3 linked regions of the Caenorhabditis elegans genome follow. The protein of the gene in region 1 purifies or fractionates together with the protein of each later gene. This does not show direct contact. Each region holds a gene or a part of one and is shown on either strand. Other genes may lie near its edges.

The links.
Region 2: the proteins of C01B10.3 (region 1) and F07A11.5 fractionate together in Caenorhabditis elegans (co-fractionation; one large-scale study listed by BioGRID). This does not show direct contact.
Region 3: the proteins of C01B10.3 (region 1) and aco-1 fractionate together in Caenorhabditis elegans (co-fractionation; one large-scale study listed by BioGRID). This does not show direct contact.

Annotation. Positions count from the first base shown.
Region 1 is NC_003282.8:6,618,923-6,623,372, forward strand, and holds C01B10.3 (Endonuclease/exonuclease/phosphatase family protein), read right to left. Parts: upstream 2,431-4,450; 5' UTR 2,430-2,430; coding exon 2,370-2,429; intron 2,269-2,369; coding exon 2,132-2,268; intron 2,077-2,131; coding exon 2,007-2,076; intron 1,959-2,006; coding exon 1,850-1,958; intron 1,666-1,849; coding exon 1,595-1,665; intron 1,541-1,594; coding exon 1,335-1,540; intron 1,286-1,334; coding exon 952-1,285; intron 908-951; coding exon 791-907; intron 743-790; coding exon 638-742; 3' UTR 546-637; downstream 1-545.
Region 2 is NC_003280.10:11,610,423-11,614,935, reverse strand, and holds F07A11.5 (Ribokinase), read right to left. Parts: upstream 2,637-4,513; 5' UTR 2,600-2,636; coding exon 2,541-2,599; intron 2,477-2,540; coding exon 2,217-2,476; intron 1,608-2,216; coding exon 1,351-1,607; intron 1,266-1,350; coding exon 1,154-1,265; intron 1,098-1,153; coding exon 1,021-1,097; intron 787-1,020; coding exon 607-786; 3' UTR 545-606; downstream 1-544. Other genes in the region: F07A11.4 (ubiquitinyl hydrolase 1), read right to left, coding at 3,630-3,678, 4,447-4,513.
Region 3 is NC_003284.9:11,338,199-11,343,845, reverse strand, and holds aco-1 (Cytoplasmic aconitate hydratase), read right to left. Parts: upstream 3,973-5,647; 5' UTR 3,971-3,972; coding exon 3,880-3,970; intron 3,701-3,879; coding exon 3,532-3,700; intron 3,482-3,531; coding exon 3,344-3,481; intron 3,297-3,343; coding exon 3,227-3,296; intron 3,055-3,226; coding exon 2,246-3,054; intron 2,198-2,245; coding exon 1,909-2,197; intron 1,862-1,908; coding exon 1,283-1,861; intron 1,203-1,282; coding exon 684-1,202; 3' UTR 519-683; downstream 1-518. UniProt on the Caenorhabditis elegans protein: Catalyzes the isomerization of citrate to isocitrate via cis-aconitate. Has probably no RNA-binding activity.

The sequences.
Region 1 (4,450 bases):
GTCCACGTGGTGTCAGAGTGTCTCATTTCGGCTTGAACTACGGAGATCTACAAAAAAATGCGGGAGAAGAGACACAGAGTTCTCAACTGATTTTGCATGGTTAAGAACGTGCTGAGTCACTTTTTTTTTGAAGACAAATTCCCGCATTTTTGTAGATCAAACAGTAATGGCCTGGCATCACGTGCAAATCGACTCTTCCCGCGCCCCGCCCCCTAGGTAATAACACACTGAAACCTCACTCTCTGACCACTGCACTCATTTTTGAGAACTTTAAATTGAAGTTACTTTTAATAAAAAATTTTAAACTGATGTTTGAAAGAATATTGAGATAACTAAAAACTGAGTCAAACATGTAGTGTTTTAGAAAAATATTTTTTTCTTAAAGACATTTATTTTTTCTGAAACTCTTCAAAACTTGAATTATTATACGTGTCTGAAAATATTAGCGGACTTCCGAAACTTTTTTAGTGTGTAGACTAATTGATAGTCTGAAAATTATTTAAAAATTGATGTAACTCTCAAAAATTAACAACAAAAAAGCGAATCGATCTAAAAAAAAGTTTATTAGCGCCGACAAATTTCAATTAAATTCAAAATCAAAAAACAAATATAGATGAAGACAGTGAAAATATAAATTTTATTTCAAGCAAATGGAAGCATGAAGCGCGACTGGCTTGTGAGGACCAACAAACTTCTCTTCAGCAACAAGACCATAGTACAGTCCAGATGCACAGAAAGAATCCTGAAAATATAACGATGCAGCAAAAAAAAAAACAAGCTGATAACTTACGTGCTTGAAAAGTTCATTCATCCGATCGTTATACAAAATTCTGTCACTCCATGCTGGGCAAAGAGTCCTCTGAAACTCTTCTTTCCCACTGTCGTTAAGCTCGTAATGACGAGAAGGCTGAAAGCTGAAGACTAGGCAAACTCAAAGTTTTCAGATCAAACCTGGAAGAAGCATGTCTCCTCTTTCAAATTTCCTTTGAATGCAATATTAGCCAATTCTCCATTATATCTTTTAACCATTTGTCCTCTTCCCAATCGGAAGAACCAATCATGAATTGAATGTAGATCAAATCGAGTTCTCTCAACAGTGGTTGTTCTTCTTCCATGCCGATCAACGTGCTCAATTGATTCAACATTTCCATCTTCATCTTTCTTTGCAACAGTTTGAACCAATTGAGTTTTTGCCAAATAATTCAAAAGATCAGTTTCATGGAGTTGAGAATTGAAGGATCCAGCGACAAGGATTGCATCGTTTCGAAGACCTTCTTCATCCAATCTGAAATTCTTGTTCATTCAAACGTTTATTAATAGCTAAATATAATTACTCTTTTAAAAGCATTTCAATTTGTTGTTCCCTTTTTGATGCTGCTTTTGTAATACTGGAATTCTTTGTTGCAATCTCATTTACATCTTCGAATGGAACAGAGTGCAGATTTAGATTAACAAATGTTAACTCTTTTCCGTGAATTCGAAATCTGGCTAATAGAAATCCAGTTCTTTGATTTGCCAAATCACGAGTTCCATCATCATTCTGAAACAGGGTTTTTTAATTGAAAATACTAATTTTAAAGTTAGAAATACTTACATAAAAATCTCTTCTAAAAGTGTAGTTTTGTCCAAATGTATTCTGAATGAATCCATCACATTCATTGGAACCTGAAATTTTTTGGAAACAAGATCACATGTTTTTGTACATTTAGGGGAATTTAAGAATAGAGTAGTTCAAAATGACTAACCTGTCAAGGTACAAAATTTACTAGAACATGAAATAAATTTACGAAATGTAAATACCTTTGTTACGTTATCAGAGTACACGAAAATCCCAAAAAAAAAAACTAACCAATTGAATGTTGATGCCCAGAACGAACATTAATGTACCCAGTTGAAGAAAATCTATCGTAGTACTGTATATCTGAGTGATTCTTGAAAAGATACAGGTTTCCAAGACCCTGAACTTATTTAATGAATTTCCAAATATTTTTAAAAGTGTAACATACAGTTAATTTGGTATCAAAAAATGCCATAGAGCTATCAAAAGCTCTGTAGATTTCTGGATTATCAGTGATGCTGGAAATATTTTTAGTCATAAACTCTCTCAAATTTTCAAGAAAAAAATTCTTACCATCCACAAATAACTCTTGCAGCATAATCTGGATTTTCAGCCGAGTGAAGACCTTGAACGTGGACAACAGCAAATTCACACTTTTGCTCATAAATTTCCTTGGCCACTTCGGAGCACCAGGCTCGGATCAGGTCATCCTGAAAATATATTTTTAATTTGATGCATCAAATCTTAAATAATCACATTTAAAATTAAATTACTAGAATTCATATCTTGTTTTAAAAAAAAGTAAACATACATCAGTTCCTATTCTGGAAATGTCCCCAGTGATTGCAACTTGCTTGATGTACTCGGGCATTCTGAAAATTAAGTTTTGTTTTAAAATTTCAATTATAAAAATAAATAAAAAGCGGAAATGAAAAACAGGTCAAGAGAACGAACAAGAATAGTTCCAAATAAATATGATGGAACATCAGACAGAACGGGTGGCACAGAAAAAAGAGAGTATTCAAATTAAAAATTACAATTTAAAAAGAATTTCCATTTTCAATTTCAAATTTCAATTTGAAACCATCCAAATAAAAAGATCCTTGCATTTCCTTTTATGAGGCGATGAAGGATGGGAGTGAAGTAGGGTGTGGTTGGAGAAATGAGGCAAATTGTTTGTTATAGTTAGGAAATGTTCAAAAATCTTGAGAAATTGAAATTAAACAGGTTGAAACTGTTCATAATCAATCTAAAAAACTAAAAAATAATATTTTAAATTTGAATCTGATACAAGAATTTTTCAATTCACTCAAAAATTACGGAGATGTGAGCTGCCAAAAATAAATATTCTTGATAAATAACTTGGGCATTATAAAATTTAATTGACTTCCGTCAATTAAATTTTTAAGTAACTCTTAAGTAATTACTGCAACTTATTACAAAATATATGAGTTGATTTCTAAAGCTTTTAATCTTTATAAACTTTAGTTTGAAAGTTCGAACACGTATACCAACAAACTGAAACATGTTTAACTTGAATAAGCGTATTGATACATTTTTTTAAATCAGTTAAAAGTACCAGGGTTAGGCCTAGTCTTTTGTAAATTCCACAACCAATAGTTAGTGTAATCCAGAAAAAAGTGAACGAAAATTTCGAGAACAAGAAGAAAAATGGTAGAAGAAACCCGATGACTGTATGTCTCTATGTCTATTTGCAAACAGTTTTTTCTCAATTTTCTCATTGATTCTCTGTCTCTAATTCTATGAACATTGCGCGGGCGGACGTAGAAAAAATGGATAGAAGAAGGCAACGCCCTTTTCTTTAAATCTCTTATTCTTATACACTATTTTCTCATCACCGTTCCCTATTTCGTAATCTTTTTCTCTTTTTTAGGTCTTCTCTCAGTAAAACATATGTCGGCACAGAGATGATGATGACGGCTGGGAGACTTCTAATCAATGAGATTTTGGAGTGAATCATTCTGCAAATTGTTTCGAGCATTTCTACAGGTTTTAATCCATATGATGCTTGAGTACAAATTATTAAAACATGATCAAAATATGAAACTAGATTTTGTTTTGACCAACTTCCAAAATTTTAAAATTTTCTGAATAGAATAAATTAAAAAAATTTCCAATGACGCCCACCATCAAACTTACTAAAAAATCTATTAAAACTGAAACCCTGTGAGTCATCTAACACTTTAAAATTGTTGCAAACTTCCAAACACCACGAGAATTTAAAATCGAACTAGTTATTTTACTTCTTCTTTTTCTGTCCCAACAGAAATAAACCATCAACCTTGCAACACTGAATAAAAACTGCATCAACAATTGATAGAACAGGTTGAGGGAAAGATATCAATAATTAAACTAATAGTTAACCCATTTCAAAAATAAATATCGTGGGAGTAATTGTGTATTTTTACTGTTGACAAATGGGATTAAAATGGAAAATCTTTTTGAGGAAGTTCTCGACTTTTACTCCGCCATTATGTCATATTTTTCTTTGTCAAACAATGAATGGTTTGCGAGCTTCTGGGTTATATGTGAAGCGTGAAATAGAAACATTGAAAATGCTTTTAAAAAACGACAATTAAGCGATTACAAAAAATTCTTCAGCTTTAAACCTTCACATTTGAAAAAGAAACAACAAGAATCAGCTTTAGATCAGAGAACCTAACTTTTTAGGAAAAAATTGTCATGCAGATCTGCTCAAAATGCGATTGGACATCGTATATTTGTAGTTAACATTTGGATTTCTATGGAATCTAACTACTCTATGAAGAATTGACGACGTACCAATTACCTATATTTCAAAAGAAAACTCTGAAACAGTACTTTATTTTCTGAAATTATAAAATTCTAAAGTTTCAGATTAAATTTTATAAA
Region 2 (4,513 bases), on another chromosome or scaffold:
TATTCCCCCGGTTTATATCTCATTTTCTTCATTCCGCCGGAAGGATTTCTGTCTTTTTGGCACACCGCTTTCTCAATTTTCCTCCCTACTAGACACTAATTCAAGTCTCTCATGAAAATAGCGGATCAGTTTTCGTAAAATGTTAGTTTAAGACCTCCCCCCCCCCCCCCGTCCCATCTACTATTTAAACATTTTCCAATTTGTCGTCATTCTTATATTATTTAATTCATCATTCTTGTCTTTCGTCTGTATTTTTATCGGAGAAGCTCTCGACTCGCTCGAAAAACGAAAACAATGAAATAATTGAATTTACGCAAATTTCTTTATACACAATGACTATGCGATTCTGGAAATTAAATTTTCAGCATTTAAATTTGTTGAAAAGGAAAATAACAAAACGGGAAAGAAATTCATTATAGGAGAATTGTGTTATTTTGGAACAAACATTAACATTAAACGGTAAATTTCCAAATTTTCAAAAAATTCAGGCTCCCTGCAATGTTCAACAGCTAATTAAAACATATTGAAAGTATAAAATGTGTTTGGAAAGCAGAATTTTTATTTCAGACCTAATCACAAATTTCTTGAAAGACACTGTAATAAGTTTTAAGGCAAGAATTCCGGGTATTGTTGGCGAATCTCGTCGAGCTTCCAATAACTCGATTGAGTTCCATGACGTGTCACAGAAAGTGCGGCCAAGTTGGCAGCCGAGCGTATTGATGCGGAAATCGGATGGCCGGCAACCAAATGAGCAGCCAGTGAACCACAGAAACAGTCACCGGCTCCCTGGAATTTTCAATTAATATTATACCTATATGCAGATTGATCTTGTTCATATTTCCTCCAGGTTACTGTAGAAAACTTGCGCCAAAAATTTTGATTTTGATAAAGTAGTTTTTTAGAGGCCCATGCACAACATTTTTAACTAAAAATAACTAGAAAGGCAACTAATTTCTTTCGTTTCAAAAAATATATTGTGGTGGGACCCAAGCTCGGACAAAATTTATTTTTTAGTATTACCGTAGTATCAACTGCATCGACTTTGATCACGGCGGTATGCTCAACATCATCGACTCCTTTGGATGCAAGCAGGACACCTACAATTCAAAAAAAAATTTATTGTTTCAAATTATCCCAGTGTAAGTCCCCCAACCTTTGCCTCCGAGAGTTATGATCGCATGTTGAGGTCCCATTTTGAGCATTGCACGTGCTGCTTTTTCAGCGTCTTTCACGTTGTTTTGAGCGATTCCAGTGATGAATTCCGCCTGGAAAGTTGAAATTTAATTTATTTTTTGTTCAGAACAATATTTGGAAAAGTTCAATTGATTAGAAAAAATAACATAGACCTACTTCATTCTCATTGGTACAAATAATATCAACCAGCTCGAGAATCGTCTTATCCATATTCGGATCCCCAGGAGCTGGATTTAAAAAAGTGGTGACTCCGTGACTTCTAGCAATTTCGAAGGCTCTTCTATTTCCTTTTTCGTCAATTTCTCCCTGACAAATGACCATTTTCGAGCCAGCAATTTTTGAAGAGTTCGCATCAGCGATTTCAGGCGACATTTCAAGATTTGCACCCAGCGTCACCACAATGTTGTTTTCGCCTGGAAATTTTGGAATTTGGATTTGAAATAATGTAAGTCTCATGTAAATCTGAAAATCAAGAAAATTTAATTTTTCGAATTTACCATATTTTAATAGTTTTACACCTCAATTGCACTGTAACAAATCGAACTTTTCATGTCTGTAGATGCTATTTGAAATATTTTTTCTACATATGTCAAATTCCAATTTTCTACTAGATGCATCACATTTTGAGCTCACTTTTTGAGTCTAAAAATTTGTAATTCTCCTTACCCTCTCTCCCCCACTTCTTACTATTAGTTCCAGTTCAAAGTTATTTGTTTGTCGTCGTCACTGAAGGTTCTTCGAAATAATAAGTTATTTATATTACGTCACCAAAAAAATGGGGGAAAAAGAAAGAGAAAATAGATTCTATGAACGTAGACAAATCGTTTTCAGAACAAAATTAGAATTTCAGTGATCTACGAGCTATAAGAACAGATATAGCTATAGGAACTTATTCTTAACCCGGTTGGCAATTTTTTCTTAGAGGTAGGGTCTTGCTACAAATATTGAATGTTTCTTCAAGACATTCAAGAGGCCACACATAATCTTAAATATTTTTTTCCCGCCAAAACTCGGATACAAACCTTCTTTGTTAACAGTGATAGTCGCTGTGGCGGTATGTGTCTTTTTGGTCCGTCCCACACAACTTGTATCAACTCCATTGCTGCTCAAATCCTTAATATTAGAATCTCCGAACATATCTTCTCCAACCATTCCAATCATTGAGACATTGATCCCTAGGCGAGCCGCAGCAACTGCCTGATTGGCGCCTTTTCCGCCGGAGCCCAGCTTGAAATTGTGACCGCGCACCGACTCTCCAGGTCTTGGGAAACTATCTGTGTAGCTGGAAATTGGTAGTTTATAATGTAAAATTGTTTAATGAAAGATAAAATTTAAAAAAAACAGACCTGACAAGATCCTGAACGATACTTCCGAAAACCACGATTTTCTGGTTTTCACTTGACATAACGATATGCTTTTTTTTTAATTTAGAAAATTCTGAAATAAAAAAATAAAAATGCGATTGATAGCACGTGTCAAATAATCAAAGAAACACAAAAAAGAGAAGAGAGAAAGAGAATCAGGTGGTTAGCTTGTTGAGGGCAAAAACTGTTTGCCAACAAATTTGGCAGCTGGTCAGTTATGGTAAGAGAATAAGACACACGTAGTATTATTTTCCAGAAATTTTTTAGGTGGCTAAAAATGCCTGCCTGCCTCATGCCTACACTCTACTGAAAGGAAACATGTTAGTCCTCTTGAAAGCGAAGCAAATAATTTGTAGGCAGGCACGTAGGCCCGTTCGCATGAAGAACCTACAATGATGACAGACCCTATAATTCCTAGAAAAAGCTTTCAAAAACCAAAAGCAAATTTTAAAAAAAGCAAAAAAATTTTTTTTGAAGGTTCCCAAACAGATAATGTTCCCATTTTAAACCATTCAGGTCAGATAAAATTGTGATCAAAAATTAATTGTTTTGGTTATTTTTTTGATCTTTAAAAATTTTCACTGACAGTGATTTTATGTGAAAAAAAAACAAAACAATGGCGTCATATATCACGGGCCAAAATTCAGAAATCAGGCGATAGGCAGGCACGTAGGCCTGCAAAATGGCACGTGAATGGCCTCAAAATGCATTGAACTAAAAACAGATAATATTTGGAACTCGTATCTTATCTTTTCCCCTTCTTATCAATTTTCATCGGCTTATCTTGATTTCTTTTTTCTTTTTTTCCTTTGCAGTCAAGGACAGAATTTTAATTTTGAAATTAATTTATTCTCTTCGGGGAACAAAAAAAAAACTGAAACCGGTCTCCGTGGATTCAAACAATTGTTATTTTAATAATCAATAAAATTAGGAAAATTAATGAAAAATATATAAATATTAAATCAAAGATGTAATATCTAAAAACATGGTAACAGGTTTTGAAAGAAATGAAGACAATGAACAACACGTGGAAAAAAAAATTGATGAATTTATGAAAATCTAGAAAAATGACTAAATTTTGACTTCTTCTGGAGCTCCAGGATCACACGAGTAGTGGCGTCTGAAATAAAAAATTGTTCATTGATCGGAATAGGTTACTTTGATAAAAACCCAGCGCGGTGATCATTAAAAATTAAATCATTAAAAAAAAAAAAAAACTCATCAGTTTGAAAATGAACAACTAGTTCCAAAATAAAAAATATTATGGAAAAACTTTCAAAACCTTTTTTGAAATTTTTATTCCAGTGAAAAAGTTCTGAACATTCAGTTTTCAAGCATTACCTTGTAAGTCGGTCAAAATATGTTATCCTGGTTTTTTTTTACTAATTTCGTACTAATTGTTTTTTTCAAATTCTAGGAGCTCGAACCTGCAGGATATCTTAAATAACCACAGAAATTCACAATTTTTTGGCGATTTATGAAATCTTTGCCTAAAAGTTTTGAAAAAACAAGCAAATCACGGTTTCTTATTATTGAAATCCAAAATTTTTATTTAATTTTTTAAAGAAAAATTTAAGAAAAAAATTTTCAATTTGCGTGACCTCGGTCGTGGAACTTATTATTTAGATTTGGAATATATAAATTGTCCAAATCTGAAGCTGAATCAATCAGTTCTCACTTTTATCCAATGCTTACAAATTCAATTATCAATTTGCTTATTACAATAGTGCTTTCTAATCAACTATCATACTATCAATACCGTGCTGGAAACTATCTCAATTATTTGAACGTCTTCGTCTCAAAAAAAGCCGTTCTCAGGATTTATCGATTTTCTTGAATTTCAGGAAATTCTTTCCCAGATTTATAGTTCTTGGGGTTTCCAACTCACTTGAATATACTCCTCGTCACATTCTGATCTCTCATTTTATAGAAGAGTAAGTAAGCATCCTCCGTTT
Region 3 (5,647 bases), on another chromosome or scaffold:
CTTATTTTGAAATAAAAATATCTTTTGCGCTGGCAAGGGTCTCATATTACTTTAGTGATGTTAGCTATAGGGCAACTGAGATTTTATTGGGTGAGTGTGCACTTTTAAATGGGACTGAATAGTACGAATGAACTGCTGAAATGTTAGTCTATAAAAAGTCAGTTCAGTACAAATAAATACCGTAATCTCTCTGTTCATTTTGTTCAAACAACTAGAATGTTTGAGCTTTTACACCCAATTTTGTTGTTCTCAATGAAGATGTTTTCTTATTTATTTATACTCTTATGACTGAGAGAACAAAAAATACAATTAGTGATGACGACCTTTAAGAAAAAGTTGCAAAATGTTATATCCTAAACACTGTCAAACTGGAAGCACATTTCTTTCTCCTATAAATAGTAGAAATACGTTATTTGTTGAGTTTTAGTAAAATATTACGAATTTAAGTGGTTTTAGCAAAACAGAGACGCCAAAACTAAAATAAATTTGACCATCCACATGTTTTATAGCCCAATTATAAAAAGTATTGATTTATTTCGTTGCTCCAAATCACAAATTTATTGGACTTCAAACATGTTCATAAAATATCACAGAAAATAGAGAAGGATTGATGCATCGAAAAGTAAATAGTTATCTAAAAATAGAAAAAATTGACTTTCAAAAATTTAAGCTAAAATAACAGTTTATTGGATCAACTTTCTGATCATGTATTGGAGGATTCCTCCGTTGCGGTAATAGGTGAGTTCGACTTCAGTGTCAAATCTACAGATGACTTGGAAAACTGAACCATTGGATACATTCACATCAATGAGCTGTCCTGGCTTCAAATCGTCTGGAACTCCAATTGAGAATTGTTCTTTTCCAGTAAGTCCGAGACTATCAGCGTTTTGACCAGCTTGATATTGGAATGGAATAATGCCCATTCCAATCAGGTTGGAACGATGAATTCTTTCGAAGCTTTCAGCGATAACAGCCTTGACTCCTTGGAGGAATGGCCCCTTTGCAGCCCAATCGCGAGATGAGCCACATCCATATTCTTTTCCAGCAAGAATGATGGCTGGAATTCCGGCATCCTTGTACTTTTGAGCAGCGTCAAAGATGTCGAGCTCTTCTCCAGATGGCACATGGAGTGTAATAGGACCAACCTTCGACGCAAGCTTATTAACAAGACGAATGTTGGCGAATGTTCCACGAGCCATGATCTGAAATTTAAAAAAAAACGTGATGTGTTGTTAAATTCAAAGTTTTTAGAAAATCATATATTGAATGAATAAACTCTTACCTCATCGTTACCACGGCGAGCTCCATAAGTGTTGAAATCTCTTGGCGTTACTCCACGTCCAGCAAGGAATCTGGCGGCGGGAGAGGTCTTCGAGATTGATCCAGCTGGAGAAATATGATCAGTGGTTACCGAGTCACCGAGATTCAACAAAACGTGTGCGTTTACAATATCGGATTGTGATGGAAGCTCGCTAGTCATTCCATCAAAGAATGGAACCTTCTTGATGTAAGTAGAGGCATCGTCCCATGGGTAAAGCTTGACAGCCGGGCACTCCAATTGTTGCCACTCCGTGGATCCAAGCTCAATGTTAGCGTACACCTCGCGGAAGAATTGTGGCTTCACGAATTCCTCCTCAAACTTGGCAACTTCTTTTCTGGTTGGCCAAATGTCGGCTAGTCGGATTTCCTTTCCGTCAGGAGTAACAGCAAGAACTCCGTTAATGTCAACATTGACGTTTCCGATGATCGAGTAAAGAACAGCCAAAGGTGGAGATGCCAAATAGTTAGCACGAACATGTGGGTGAATTCTTCCTTCAAAGTTTCTATTTCCAGAGAGAACTCCGGCAACGACAAGGTTATTCTGAATAAACAATTATTTTGAAAAGAAAACAGTAGTTTCAACAATACCTCTTCGATGGCCTTTGTTACTGGCTCATCAAGTGGCCCAGAGTTTCCGATGCATGTCATGCAACCATATCCAGCAATATTAAATCCAATCTTCTCAAGGTATGGAAGAAGACCAGATGCTTCCAGGTATTTTGTGACGACTCCTGATCCTGGAGAGAGGGATGTTTTCACATATGGTTGGACATTCAATCCCAACTCAACAGCCTTCTTGGCAACCAATCCAGCTGCGAGCATGACACTTGGGTTACTGGTGTTTGTGCAGGATGTGATGGCAGCAATAACTACGGATCTGGAAGAAACATTATTTTTTGCATGTACTTCTAATTTATAGTCTTACCCGTGAGTAAGCTCTGCGGTTCTTCCGTGGTTGGTAATTGTGACAGATTTAGTGGCATCTTCTGGTTTAAGGCCAAAAGCTTTGAAGGAGATCTTATCAGTGAGCCCTTTGGAGAAATCTTGAGCCAGAGAAGCAAGCTCAACTCTGTCATGTGGACGCTTAGGTCCGGAGACACTTGGCACTACACTTCCAAGGTCCAATTTCAAAGTGGTAGTGTATGTTGGGCGGTAGGAGTCATCGGTGAAATTGACGAACATGCCAACAGACTTGAGGTATTGTTCCACGCGTTGAGTATAATCGGTATCACGTCCGGTTTGAGTGAGGTAGTCAATGGTACGGCTATCGACTGGGAAGAATCCAATTGTTGCTCCATATTCGGGGCACATGTTAGCAATTGTTGCACGATCGGCGATGGAGAGCGATGCAACTCCAGTTCCAAAGAACTCAACAAACTTTCCAACAACTCCGAGATCACGAAGGTTCTTTGTGATTGTAAGAACCAAGTCGGTACTGGTAACGGTATCACTGAGAGTTCCAACCAATTCGTATCCAATAACTTCTGGAATAACCATGGAAATTGGCTGTCCGAGCATCACAGCTTCAGCTTCAATTCCTCCAACACCCCATCCAAGAACACCACTTCCATCAATCATTGTGGTGTGGGAGTCGGTTCCAACGACGGAGTCAGGGTAGAGAACGCCATCCTTTCCAACAAACACTGTTCTGGCAAGATATTCAAGATTAACCTGATGGACGATTCCAGATCCTGGCGGTACAATAAGAAGATTGTCGAAAGCTTTGGATCCCCACTGAAAATAATTTGATAATACAATTTCATTTAAGCTATCTGAATATTTGTGTGTTCATTGAACAAAGTAGTGATAAGGGCAATCAAATGCATAGCGTGATTTTCCGAAAAGTGATGGGGAGAGTAAAACGTGACAGTGAAACTCTGAAAGTGGCATTTTCACCTTTCCTTACCTTCAAAAAGTTGAAGCGTTCTCTGTTTCGCTCAAACTCAATGGACTGATTCTTGGCAAGGGCTTCAAGGCTGAAAAAAATACAATAAATGTATAAACCAGGTTGCGCAGAACGTACTTTCCGTAGTGATCGACTTGCACGGAGTGATCGATGACAAGGTCAACTGGGCATACTGGGTTGATCTTGGCCGGGTCAGCACCCATATTTTGAACGGCGTCACGCATAGCGGCAAGATCTACGACGGCTGGAACTCCACTGAAAATTGCTTGATGTACATAAATTTGGTAATTTATTTTCAAGCTCACGTAAAATCTTGGAGAATAACGCGTGCTGGTTTGAAAGGAATCTCAGCTTGGTTACGCTGGCTGTTTTTCCAATCAAGAATGGTTTCCACGTCCTTCTTCAATACATGGAACTCATCGCAATGACGAACTGCGGCTTCCAACAAGTACTTGATGGAGATTGGAAGCTCGTCTGAAAATTTTGGGAAGGTTTTTAAAGAAAATGATTTATATATGACTTTAACATAATGAATTTATTCTTGCTCGTCGAAATTCGCTGTTTTTTTTTTCGTTTACAAAAGTTCCAAAATTGAATATATGCAGATATATTTTAGATAGATTGAGAATAGGATGTAAAATAGTTATACTTACTGTAACGAGCATCATTGAGACCATTCAAGTCAAAGTATTTGTAGACGTTATCTCCGATAGCCAAGTTGCGGATAAGGTTGTTGAAAGCCATATCTGGAAAGTTAGATATGGAAAAAATTTAAAAAAAAAAGGATTTCGATAGAAAAGAACGACAAAAGTGCATTGTAATGAAAAAGAGAATGCGAGGAAAACTAATGGAGGCGTGCCGAATCGGTGTAGTCGACCTGTCCGTTTTTGTGTGTGTCTGAGCGCGCTTAGTGTGTGTGGCTGTATTGAATGTGAGAGCGTTTTGTGTATGTTGTGTATGTGTGTGTGTGTGCCAAGGTCGGTCGAAGATAGTCATCTTTCATATCAGCTAGGACGAAATTGCGTCGTTGTCCAGTGTTTCTAGAAGGCTAATGTCGAGAAAAAAGGCGGCGAGAAAAAACGATACCATCTCAGAACTCAAGAAACAGTCAAAAAAGGTAAATGTGCACAGTGAAATAGTGTGCGGTGGGAAGAGAAGAAGAGGGCCGATCTGCATACACGTTGCGTACTTGACCCAAGAGGTTACGACAATGTTGCAGTGTGGTTTTTTTGAGAATTGAAACAATGCGCTCTCAGACATATTGAGAGATAAAAAGAAAATTCAGAGATTTGTGTCCGATATTTTTTATCTTTTGTTATCATTGATATCAGATCATTTAAAAAAGATTATCAAGTGGGAGAACTTTGCACAGATTGATGGTGAGGTGGAAATTCCTTTGGGAAACTGAAGAGCAAAAATTCGTTTTATTTTTCAAAAAAAAAAACATTTGAAAAAATGCAATCGAATCCATGCTATAACTAAACTAATACACTAGAATCTAGAATCACTAGAATCTGTAGTTCACAAAATTCATAGAGTACGGAATTTCTGTTAGCGTGACTAAAATTTACTAAGTTAAAAAAACAGAAGATGTTTGAGCACAAGCTGGTTGGTTTTTTGATTGATATTTTTGTTTCATATGTCTCTGTTCTTCATGATAATTTACTATATATAATATAAAGCGCTTATTCTGTGTGTCCATAGTTTGTAGTCTATGTAGTCTTTGTAGTCTGTGAAGTTTTGACTTCTGGAGGGATAGTGAGTTGGGGTTAGTGTAGGGATATAGTCGGGGTACTGTAGTGGTACAATAGTGGTACGGTAGGAATACTGTAGGGTTACGGTAGTTTCATAAAAATTGATTTTCAGCCCTAGAAGTCGGGGGCCGCGCCGAAGGTGCGGACCACGGCTGGTTCATAATATTACAATTACCGTTTTTCATAGTTTACCGCGTATCATTGTATAACCATGTTTTATTCAGAAAGACTTTGCATATATATTTTTATTTGATCCCAAGTTGAGATTCATAGAAACGTATTTTATTAAAATTGGTCTCACAATCATTCCCCGTATTACCTCTAGTAGCCTTTTAAGTTGTAAAAAGCAAGACAAGTGCTAACATGTGTAAACGTTTTGAACAAGTCTAGGTTTATTTTTTCAGGAATTGAAGAATTATCTGAAAATTCTACAAGGTACGCCTTGTCTTGTCCCGAATTATTGAAATACTGATTGAAGTTCTAATATTAGGATGACTCTTAGAAATGCAAGAAAATTACACACTGTATAACTAATAGGGAGTACACTTGGTAAATGAATAACACTGTTAAAAATTCTGAAAACTACCAAAAAAAAAACTCGGCTTGTTTTTTTAAAAGTATTTTCGTGTGTTTCGATGATGTTGCATTAGACAGTGTCATAGTTCTA